Linked DNA regions of Nothobranchius furzeri. The protein of the gene in region 1 purifies or fractionates together with the protein of each later gene. This does not show direct contact. Links are inferred from orthologs where the notes say so. Each region holds a gene or a part of one and is shown in the gene's direction. Other genes may lie near its edges.

What was found. The genes of interacting proteins can lie anywhere in the genome.
Region 2: the proteins of keap1b (region 1) and microtubule-associated proteins 1A/1B light chain 3A purify together in Homo sapiens (affinity purification with mass spectrometry; 3 studies listed by BioGRID and IntAct, with this or other methods). This does not show direct contact. The link is inferred for Nothobranchius furzeri from reciprocal best matches to the Homo sapiens genes KEAP1 and MAP1LC3A.

The regions. Positions count from the first base shown.
Region 1 is NC_091747.1:74,193,995-74,199,722, forward strand, and holds the start of keap1b (kelch-like ECH-associated protein 1B), read left to right. Parts: upstream 1-1,986; 5' UTR 1,987-2,250; intron 2,251-3,714; 5' UTR 3,715-3,786; intron 3,787-5,728. UniProt on the Homo sapiens protein: Substrate-specific adapter of a BCR (BTB-CUL3-RBX1) E3 ubiquitin ligase complex that regulates the response to oxidative stress by targeting NFE2L2/NRF2 for ubiquitination.
Region 2 is NC_091743.1:78,249,532-78,255,452, reverse strand, and holds the start of microtubule-associated proteins 1A/1B light chain 3A, read left to right. Parts: upstream 1-1,990; 5' UTR 1,991-1,993; coding exon 1,994-2,159; intron 2,160-3,509; coding exon 3,510-3,565; intron 3,566-5,921. UniProt on the Homo sapiens protein: Ubiquitin-like modifier involved in formation of autophagosomal vacuoles (autophagosomes). While LC3s are involved in elongation of the phagophore membrane, the GABARAP/GATE-16 subfamily is essential for a later stage in autophagosome maturation.

The DNA.
Region 1 (5,728 bases):
CATTGGCCTACATGCATCAAGATCTGCCTGTCTGGCTAGAGCGCTGCGCAATACAGCTTTTATTAAATACAGAGCGCTCCGTGTTTCTCTTTCTTTATTCTCTTGACATGTAGGGAATATCAGCTAACACCTCATTCCACATTTGTCATGATTAAAAGTGAGGAAAAAACACATACAGATGGTTTTAATTTTGCTTCCAGAGAAAGATTTGGACGAAAAAAAAAAGAATCGGGGCAAATAAAAGTCAGTAAATCGTTCACATTTGCAGATTTATGTTCAATAAAATCTTCGTTTATGTTTGCATTGATTCGACATATCTCAAGGATTTCTAATTGCATTAAAACGTATAAGTTTGTTCTTGATTTGACAGCATGTATCCAACATCAATGAAACTGAGGGATTGACAGTACCACAGATTGGGTTTTAATTAAAGCAAATTTTACTTTTAAAAGAATAAACTCAGATTTTTGAGTTTGCTGATGTAAAGTAGAGAGTTGGATAACTTCAGAACAAAAAGGTTTTCATTGCAGAGGTCAAGAGACGGTTCAAAAAGGTTTGTGAGTTGTCATGGGACATGCCAATAAAAACATTTTGGCATAAATCTGTGGCTGCAGTTTGATATCTAATAGTGATGTGTCGGTCGCAAACGAACCGGCTCTAAGAGCCGGCTCTTTGAAGTGAACGACGGGAGCCGTCCCCTCCCCTCCCCTCTTGCTTTGGTGCAAGCCACAGGCGATTGGTCAGCATGTGTAACTGCGTGTCCAGACTGTCCACACACAGAGCAGTAGGGGCGGGGAAGAGGGAGGATCAGACTCAGACACACAGCAGAGCACATGCGGGAGGAGGGAGACGAGAGGGAATGAGGAGGAGGTAAAAGGAGAGTGCGACTAAGACGGTGAGAAAATGAGCGCCAGCAGTCAGAAAGTGTAGATTTCTTAAAGTGTTCAGTTATTAAATCCATAGAAATGATAAATATTTGATATATTGAATTTTTTTATATTAGTAAATCATTCTACAAATAGTTTAGTATTATTTTGGTTATAAATGTACTCTACGCAACAGAAAATCTGAGGAGCCACTAGGGAGCCGGCTCTTTTTGGTGAGCTGAGCCAAAAGAACCGGCTCTCTTAAAAGAGCCGGAATTCCCACCACTAATATCTAGGGTGATAAGGCATGACTGTCTGCAACAACTGGAGCAGCTGCACGGGAAAACCTCAGATTTGATGAGATTTGTACCAGTGCAGATGTTTATCCAGATGTTGACTCTACTCACCAGGTTTTGGACGCAGTCCTTCCTCCTGTTGAAATCCAACAGCAAACAGGCGCGTTGAAAGTCGTAAGTCCGCGTGCACAGACACTTGCTGGAGGGTCCCCTTCCACTGATCTCATGGCAGAGCAGTAGTAGACTGATGCAGCTTCCACTCCTTAGGCCTGAACACTCAGTTAGCTTGTGGTGCCACCTTGTGACTGTGAGAGAGACCACTATGACCTGGCTTACATATTTTGTAACAGAAAGAACTGGTGTGTCATATACTATTGGTGTCAGTGCATGCCTGGGGCAAACTGCTGCTCAGAGCTGGAGCTGCTCACAAACATGTTTATCTCAAAGAAGAGTCCAGACAAGCACAATGAGTGTGTGAATGTGTGTGTGAATGGATGAATGGTACACTGCAGTGTAAAGGGCTTGGGAGTCCCTACTCTTGAGAGGCGCTATACAAGTGCGGGTCATTTATCATCTTTTATCATTTAGCTATGGGGTTATTATAGGTCAGATCTTTAGCAGCAGTGTTTTCATTTAGTATTAATCACATACTATTGCATTTTAAAACATTTGTGTTACAAGTCATTAAATAGCCGTTTGTTATTACAGTTATTGATTTCATGTAGCATTGCATTTTTCTTTTTAAACTTTTTACCAAGTATTTTCATTTTACGTTTAGGTGTATTAGAGCATGCTTCCCTTGACACATTTGATTAACTGTGAGTCACAGTTTTGGCACTGTGCTCCCATTTTGGCCTAGCTTTTTCTTCATTCTGAGAATTCCTTCCGAATAAAAGCCTCCTCCCTCGTGACGTACGTTTCTTCCATTACACGTTAACGGAGGCAGGTCTCGCGCTTAGGGGAAGACTCTTATTGTGAAAGTGAGGGGAGGCCGCCACAATTGCTTAGTCACGGAGTTACTGCTTTCCCCTCCTTCCTATGTGGCGAACTGCTCGAAAACCCATGATGGAGGAATTGAGCTAGTCTACGTGAGTGTCCTTTATTTTTTACAAATGTACCAAACCACTAACAGTCTAGAGAACCAGTTTGAACAGGTCTGAGTGCCCGCTGAAACCCAAGTAGCAGTACTGTTTTCAGGCTTCGCTTTGTTAGCGTTAACCTATCGACTCGCAGCCGTTACTCTAGTCTATTATTAGGAGTCCGTGTTGCTGTCAGCTCTATTTCCGTGACATTTTATTTGTTTCTATTGCGTCTCAGATTGTTTTTACTTTATTCTAATCGTTTTACAAACTTACAGCCGATGGCGTCCACCTGCTTTGCCTTTTGAACGCCTCCAGTATTTGATGAAAACGAGCTCAGAAACTGTGACCTTTTTAGTGTGCGAGGCAAAGTGGGCTTTGTAAGAAGCGTCTTCATGTCAGGTAGGTAGATGGCGCGGAAATCTTAATTCCGTTCGGGCTTATGTAAGGACGAGCTCCACTTCTGGGTCGTGCTATCGTACAACCAGCTCTGTTTGCTCAGTGAAGAGTTCACGATGAGTCATGGAGGAGGGAGGCTCAAAAATGTCAGTGAAACATGTTGTGCGTTTGTTTGGCTCGTTCTCGTCTGCTGGTTTAGTAGCGTTTAAATGGGTGAAAGGTCACGTTTAGTTGCCGTTTTTAGGCCCTGAAAGTGGCTCCAGATTCTGATGGTGTTGTACGTCACTGTAGGCAAGTTAGTGTGAAAGGATATGCTTGAGAGTCAAGTGTGACTAGCTGCAGATGTCCCTGCACAATATCCTCTCTCACTAGGTAAAGTGTTGTGGAGTTGCCTGAAGGTGATCTTAGAGGTTATGTCTTGTGAGGAAATGAGTCATGTTGGTGTTACACATTATTTGGTCTTTTTCCAGCTGAGGATTTACAGATGTTTATGTTTGGGTTGTTTTTTTTTTCTTCCCAAAAATCTACTTTTGCAATTCCCTAAAGTACAATCAGTGTACTACAATAAAATGACGTGCACAACACAACTTAAAGGGTTTCTCTGACTTATCTGATGTCAGCCAAATCATGGCAACTTGAGCTGGATGACTTGTAGTTTTATCTGTCACGTCTCAAACTTACTATTTTTAAGTTAAAGTCCCCGGCGCATCCAGAGTGACACTTGACCTACTTGTTTGTTGGTCAGCAGCTTCTGCACCTAGTAGAGAGCAAATGAGTTGAGCAATAAGCTCTTCTGTGAAACACTTCCTCAGAAACCTGGGGAAGATAAAAGCACCCAGTGACTCAGAACTTAAACCGGTTTCATGTTACAGTAAATTTAACTCACTGAGTGCTCACACACACACACACACACACACACACACACACACACACACACACACACACACACACACACACACACACACACACACACACACACACACACACACGCACGCACGCACGCACGCACGCAGCCATCTGTTGATCATTTAAATAGAGTGAATCTCAAACATAACCATTTTAATTAATTTGCAGATTGAGGAGCGGTCATAGGTTGGTGACAACAAAGTCTTATCATCACGTCTCTGCACCATCTCCTGTACCCAGGTGATGATCAGTGTGTGTATGCATGTGTGTGTGCAGATTGTTTAGTTATATAACTGACCCACTCACCCCGTTCAAGGATCAGCAGACAGGCCGTTACAGTTAGTTGTATTGAATATACCACTATTAAAGGCAGTTCGATTTCTGAGAGGTAGTTGGAATGGCAGTGAAGTTCTTTCTAATTCTGCTGCATCCCCTTTGGCTGCTTTAGTGGTATGTGTGATGAAGGGTGTTAGTTCTGTGGAGCTTAGGCCATATGATCCAAGTAGATGTACTGGTTTCCAAACCAGTCTGCAAGAGTTGTTTATTTGTTTCCATTCAGCTAAATGCAAAACGCTGGAAGATTAAAATAAATCACATTTCTAATTCTAGTAGTTTATACTGGGAATGAGTAATAAACTGCACACATTTATTGTTATAAATTATTTTTCTTTATTTTTACAAGTGGCATCTTTTAAAAAGGTGTAGTGTGTATGCATTAATAACTTGTTAATAACACATAAAATGCTTAGACTATTTAAGAGAGTAGCCTAAAACTAGATCCAGTTATATTAAAGAGAGGATTAGTGTGCATTGCTGTGCATGCAGCAGAGAGGGAAAAGATGCTAACCAGTTCAGGGTTTCCCCTAGCACTTTATAAGCCTGGTAGCCCGCCAGGCTAAGGGTCACACCTTGCCCCCCTCCCCGACTCTACCGTGTCCGCTGACACGAACGGCGCAACGAAACTAGAGCCATCCATCATCTGATACTGGTGAGAAACAGCAACGGAACGTGTGCAACCCCGCTCTCACGGAGGAGAGCTGTAGGATCGATTGTTACTATAAGAGAATAAACACTACAGGCCTTCCATTTTGTATAACACTGCTTTTATTGTGTTGTGGTTGGTTATGTTCTGGTGACGTGTAGAACTTGGGAGTGCAGGCGGCTGCCTGAGAGGTGGTTGGAGACGGAGTGTCTCCATGCTGCTTTGTTTTGGTCACTTATGAGCGTGAGGCGAATGGTGTTACAACCCTTTCTGGGGAGTTTGGCTCGTGTGCAAAAAGGAAGGGACAATAACACGGGATTTAAAAGGTAAAATGATGATCAGGTTTATTTACAACAGCAAAAAAACATAAATCGTTCCATCCACAGGTTGGGAATAATAAAACTAATTCTGCCTGTGGGGAATTAAAACAAAAGTACAAATAACTTGGGATGTGGCCACTGGGCAAAGATTACTGGGTTCTAGACCAAAATGAGGATCTCCAAATGTTTGTTTATTCATTTCGCAGACGCTTTTATCCAAAGCGACTTACAATTTATAACCTATGGGGCATGTTGTGATCTGTGGGGGAAACCGGAGTACCCGGAAGTAGTGATGTGTCGGTCGCGAATGAACCGGCTCTAAGAGCCGGCTCTTTGAAGTGAACGACGGGAGCTGGCTCGTCATTGGGAGCCGTCCCCCCCCCCCCCCCCCCCCCCCCGCCTTGGTGAAAGCTACAGGCGACTGGTCAGCATGTGTAACTATGTGTCCAGACTGTCCACACACAAAGCAGTAGGGGCGGGGAAGAGGTAGGATCAGACTCAGACACACAGCAGAGCACATGCGGGTGGAGGGAGACAAGAGGGAATGAGGAGGAGGAAAAAGGCGAGCGAGAGGGAGGAGAGTGCGACGAAGACGGTGAGAAAATGAGCGCCAGCAGTCGGAAAGTGAAGATTTCTTAAAGTGTTCAGTTATTAAATCCATAGAAATTATAAACATTTGATATATTGCTTTTTTTACATTAGTAAATTATTTTACATATAGTTTTGCATTATTTTGGTTATAAATGTACTCTACGCAACAGAAAATCTGAGGAGCCACTTGGGAGCCGAAAGAGCCGGCTCTTTTTGGTGAGCTGAGCCAAAAGAACCGGCTCTCTAAAAAGAGCCGGAATTCCCATCACTACCCGGAAGAAACCCACTC
Region 2 (5,921 bases), on another chromosome or scaffold:
CTTTTAAATCAAGACAAGATAGAAGTTCTAATCTTTGGACCCGAAATTCAGAAAAGGAAACTGCTTAATCAATCACCTGACCTGAACGGCATTAAAATAGTCTCCGAGAACAAAGTAAGGTACCTTGGTGTTATCTTCGACCAGGACATGTCATTCAAATCCCACGTTAAACAGGTTTGTAGGATTTCCGTTTTCCACCTTCGGAATATTGCTAAGATTAGAAGCATCCTTTCCAGTAGTGATACTGAAAAACTAGTTCATGCATTTATTACATCAAGACTGGATTACTGTAATTCATAACTCTCGGGAAGTCCACAGAATGTAGTTAAAAATCTTCAGCTTGTCCAAAATGCTGCAGCTAGAGTTCTGATGAGAATTAAAAAGAGAGATCATATCTCTCCTGTCCTAGCTTTCCTACATTGGCTATCTGTTAAATTCAGAATAGCCTTTAAGATCCTCCTTCTCACACATAAAGCTCTTAATAATAAAGCTCCATCATACATTAGTGATCTGATTGTTCCATACGTTCCTAACCGAGTACTTTGCTCTCAGAGTGCAGGTTTACTGGTGGTTCCCAGAATATCTAAAAATAGGATGGGAGGCAGATATTTTAGCTATCAGGCTCCTCTCTTGTGGAACCAGCTCCCAGCTTTAGTCCGTGAGGCAGACACCGTCTCTACTTTTAAGACTAGGCTAGGTTATCCAGAGTTATCTCTGTAGATATGCTGCTATAGGCTTAGAATGCTGGAGGACATACTGACCACTTTCCACACTCTACTACTTTCTTCTACAATCTGCTCTTTAACTGCATTATTTCCTGCTATTTCAGCTGTTAACTTTATTTTTACTCTTAAGTGTTTTCCTCCCCAGAAGAAGCTACAATGATGTTCTGCTGAGCTGTAGTGGCCTCATGGAGGGGGCCATTGGCTAGCACACTGCTGCTAACCACTTCTCCCTCTCCTGACAATAACATTTTACTCTCTTTGACATTGAATGTGCTACTCCTAGTTTACCAGATTAATTATAGATTCACTAGGATAAATACAATAAAGTTTATCTCACCAAATAGAATGTTTACTAAGAAACACAAAATTCCTGTTAAAAGGGAGTTTTTCTCTGCACTGTCGCTGCATTCTTAGTATGAGGTGACTCGATGCAACCTGCTGGGTTCCTTAAATAGGAAACTTTTTACTGATTGGCTTAATGACCTGACCTGTATTGGAATGTTTACTGTGTGAAGGTCCTTGAGACGACTCTGGTCCTGATTTGATGCTTTATAAATAAACTTGAATTGAATTGTAGAGCGCCATGTTCTTTCCAATTTTCTAGAGTTTTGTTTTAAAGTTTGTAAATCAGAATTAAACCAGGGAGCCAACTTCCTGTGCTTAATTACCTTTTTTAAAGGGGCAACATCATCTAATGCCACACGTAAAGAAGTAACATTATGAACTAAATCATCAATTTGTGAGGGGCTAGAAATGAAAATATTGCCCTCTGCTACAGTCCTCTGAGATGCTGAGGACAGTAAAGATGGAATAATTGATTTAAAAGATGCAACAGCCTTGTCAGATAAAGACAGACTATAGTGAAATTTACTTTCATGTCTCTAGAACTCAGTTATAAAAAAACTCAAAGGTGATCAAAAAGTGGTCCGAGAGGACTGGATTATGTGGAAATATCGTTATTTTCCTCACACTCTATGCCATAAATCAGCACAAGGTTTAATGTATGATGCCAGGAGTGGGTGGAGCTATGCATTCTTTGGGTAAAACCAGTATATTACTAAAGGCTACACTGAGGCTATCATTTTCAATGTCCACATGAATGTTAAAATCCCCCACTACCATGACCTTATCAGTATTTAGCACCAAATCAGATAAAAATCAGAGATCTGATCCAGAGACGGCCTCAATTTTACTGACAGGAACTGAATAACTTTTCTGAATATTAAATGACAACTTGGCTTGCCTCACTCACCTCCATAAGGCAGCGGATGACGTCAGCGCGTCAGATTACTGGCTTTGTTTGTACGGAGCTGCTGCGGAGCTTCAGACCGAGCCATCTGAAACCCTCCCAGGGCCGTTTTCATCACCTTCTTTCGCCTGAAGCCGCTGCCGGGATGCCGTCGGACCGACCGTTCAAGCAGCGGAGAACGTTCGGTAAGACGGTGCTGTCTACAGCTAGCGTTAGTGCGTTTCAATGCGTAGGTTCACACCGGATTTAACGTGTTTACATGTGTTGATGGTCGGTCTGTAGCTTCACGGTAAACGGGGTCAATGTGACGCCGCAGCCTTTACACAACCGGATCAGCTCCGTGACCCACCGCGAGGCCAAAACAACAAGTTGTGCTGAAACATGACCCCTACACGTATTCTCTGATTAAATCGGTCACCTGACAGGAGGGGAGGAGTCTGGCAGTGACCCGCTCACCTGAACGGACCAGCTGTCAGTGTCAGAAACATGAATATCAAAGCAAGGTGAGAACTATGTAGATGAACACCTGGAACGGGTTGATAGAAAGCTCTAAAACTGGAGTTTCACCTGGAACACCCTAACATCTCTGACTGGAACCACAGGATGATGTCATCAGGAAGAGACCCATCCGGCCAATGGCGAAAATGATAACCACGATTATTTTGGTTGATGCAAATATATCGCGGGATCAGGTCGCGAGGCAGTAGTCTAAGCAGGGAGGCCCAAGCTTGAAATCAGGTGTGTTGAAACTGGGAAAACACTAAAACATGTGGGATAGTGGGCCTTGAGGACCAGAGTTTGACACCCATGCTAAGGTCCAGAACGTGGTTATGATGGTTTCATTTAGAAATGAGTTTCATCCATCCTCTTCCGTTTATCTGGAATCTGGTCATGGGGGGCAGCAGCCTAAGCAGGGAGCCCAGACTTCCCTCTCCCCAGCCACTTGGGCCAGCTTCTCCGGGGAATCCCAAGGCGTTCCCTGGCCAGCTGAGAAACATAGTCCCCTCAGTGTGTCCTGGGTCTTCCTTTAGGTCTTCTCCCAGTTGGATGTGCCTGGATAACCTCACCAGGGAGGCGTCCAGGAGGCACCCCAACTAGAAGCCCGGGCCACTTCAACCGGCTCCTCTCGATGTGGAGGAGAGGCGGGTCTAGTCCGAGCTCCTCCCGGATGACTGAGCTTCTCACCCTATCTATAATTCCGTTTATTTATAAAGCGCCAAATCCCGACAAGTCCTCTTAAGGCGCTTCTCAAAGTAAACATTCCAATAGTTCAGTTCATTAATGCAATCAGTAAAAAGTTTCCTATATAAGTAACCCAGCAGGTTGCATCGAGTCACTGACTTGTGTCAGAGACTTCACAGGAAGAAACCTCCAGAGGATCCTGGATCAGCATAAGCAGCCATCTGCAGTGACACACGGAGTCGAAAGCCTACCATCCAAAATGGCTGCAATATGGCCACCAATCCAAAACACATCTTCTCTTGTTGCTGTAAACTTCCTAATCTCATCATGCTGTCTATTTGTTTTGTCGACAGCTGATCGATGCAAAGAGGTCCAGCAGATCCGAGAGCAGCACCCAAACAAGATCCCTGTAAGCTGCACACGCACGAACCTGGGGGGTAGTCCACAAAGCGAGTTTAGAACATCGATGCCTTCCTGATAAATGCCTGCCTAACAAAGTGCATCTGTGCACTCAAGGATCTGTCGGTTCCACCGACTATGCTCAGGTGGATTCAGTTCTCTTTAATTCAAGTGAACCTCACAGGCAGCCTCTGTTAATTGATGCTGGATAACTGAGAAGGGAAGCAAAGTGTTTTGCTCTTCTCTTAGACGGAACATTCATGCCCACGAGGACTATCTGAACTAAAACAGAGACCGCCAGCTGCTTGGTTATAGCCATGTATCTGGCGCTATTTAAGCCGAGCTTATGCTTCTGAGTGTGCGTCGGTACCAAGGGATCAAGGCCGCTGGCTTTGCTCCAGCATGGAAGTACCAAAAATTACAGTTCCACCCTCATCCGCTAGGGGCTAGTACCAAAACAGAGCAAGTTCCCTTTGACTCCCATGTTAAAAAAGCCAGTTTCACAGCATAAATAAACACATTTACAGCCTGGTTCAAAAAGCCATTCTAGGTTTGACTGATCTTTCTAACATTTATGACAACTCTGAGGGGGTGAGTTATTTTATAACTCTTTGACTGTAATTAAATGCTTGAAATTATGAATAATTATTGAGCACCAGAGCTACAAGCTAGCTCTAGGAAAGGCCTCATGTTAATGGACGTTCGGCCATTTTGACTCTGAACTTTAGCTGTGTCCTCTGTGGGTTTGTGCTTGGATGTAAGGGACAGCAGCAGCTCAGGAGGTAGAGTGGGTTGTCCAGTAATCGGAAGGTTGCAGGTTCAATCCCGGCTCAGACCAGAGAATTCTGTCATTGTGTCCTTGGGCAACACACTTAACTCGCCTTGCTGGAGGTGGTCGGAGGGACCGGTGGCGCCTGTGTTCAGCAGCCTCGCCTCTGTCAGTGCGCCCCAGGGCAGCTTTAGCTACGATGTAGTTCATCACCACCAGCGTATGAATGGGTGAATGACTGTGTTGTGAAGCGCCTTGGGGGGTTGTAGAACCCTAAGGCACTATACAGATACAGGCTATTTACCATTTAATCATCGGATTATTTACCATACCATACCATACCAATTTTATTTATATAGCACATTTAAACACGGCATGAGAGCCGACCAAAGTGCTGAACAAAACACACAATAAAAACAATCAAAAATAAAAACTAAATCCATTAAAATCAAGTAATCCAACCCTAAAAGGAAAGGTAGAAAGGGAATAAGTTAGACAGAATTAAAAGCCAGAGAATAAAAGTGAGTTTTTAAACGAGACTTAAAAAGGGAAAGAGAGGAAGAGAGTCTGATCGGGAGGGGCAAGTGGTTCCAGAGCTTCGGTGCACAAACTGAAAAGGCGCGCTCCCCGCGGGACTTACAGCGAGAGCTAGGGACATGTAGGAGGTGTTGGTCAGCTGATCGGAGAGATCTTGTAGGGACATATGGGTGAATGAGCTCAGACAAGTAGCCAGGTGCTAAGTTATTTAGGGATTTAAACACAAAAACCAGGATCTTAAACTCTATCCGGAGATGGATGGGGAGCCAATGAAGATTTGCTAAAACCGGTGTGATGTGTTCCCGCTGCCTGGTGCCAGTCAAGAAACGAGCTGCTGCGTTCTGCACAAGCTGAAGTTGAGCGAGAGTGGAGGAGGAGATACCGTATAGCACTGAGTTAGAGTAGTCGAGACGGGAAGTAATAAATGCATGGACAACTGAATGAAGATGACGCCTTTTTAAAATGGGCTTAACTTTAGAGAGACGCCTCAGGTGGTAATAACAGATCTTAACTACCTGGTTGACATGAATGTCCATTTTTAGTTTAGCGTTCATCACAACCCCTAAGTTTGTGACACGGTTTTTCAACCCACTTGTGATAAATGGAAGGGTCAGTTGGGGACTTTGAGAAGTACCAGGGCTGAAAATGATGGCCTCTGTCTTAGCGTCGTTCAGCAAAAGAAAGTTTTCTGACAGCCAGCTCTTCACATCATTACAGCATTCAACAAGGGGCAGTAAGGAGTCATTAGGCTTCACAGAGGCATATAATTGGCAATCGTCTGCATAAAAATGGTAATCAATGTGGTGTTTTTTAAAAATGTCACCCAGGGGCAAAATATATAAATTAAATAAAAGGGGTCCAAGAATAGAGCCCTGGGGAACACCACAAGTCAAAGCCGCAGAGGGGGAGGCAGCACTACCCATCATAACATTAAAGGTGCGGTCACAGAAGTAGGACCTAAACCAGTCTAAGGCAGTCCCCTGGATTATTTGGACACAGAGGGCAAGCTGCGGTTGCTGACGGCACTAACAGGTCATCCAAGCAGTTTCTGCTTCTTTTT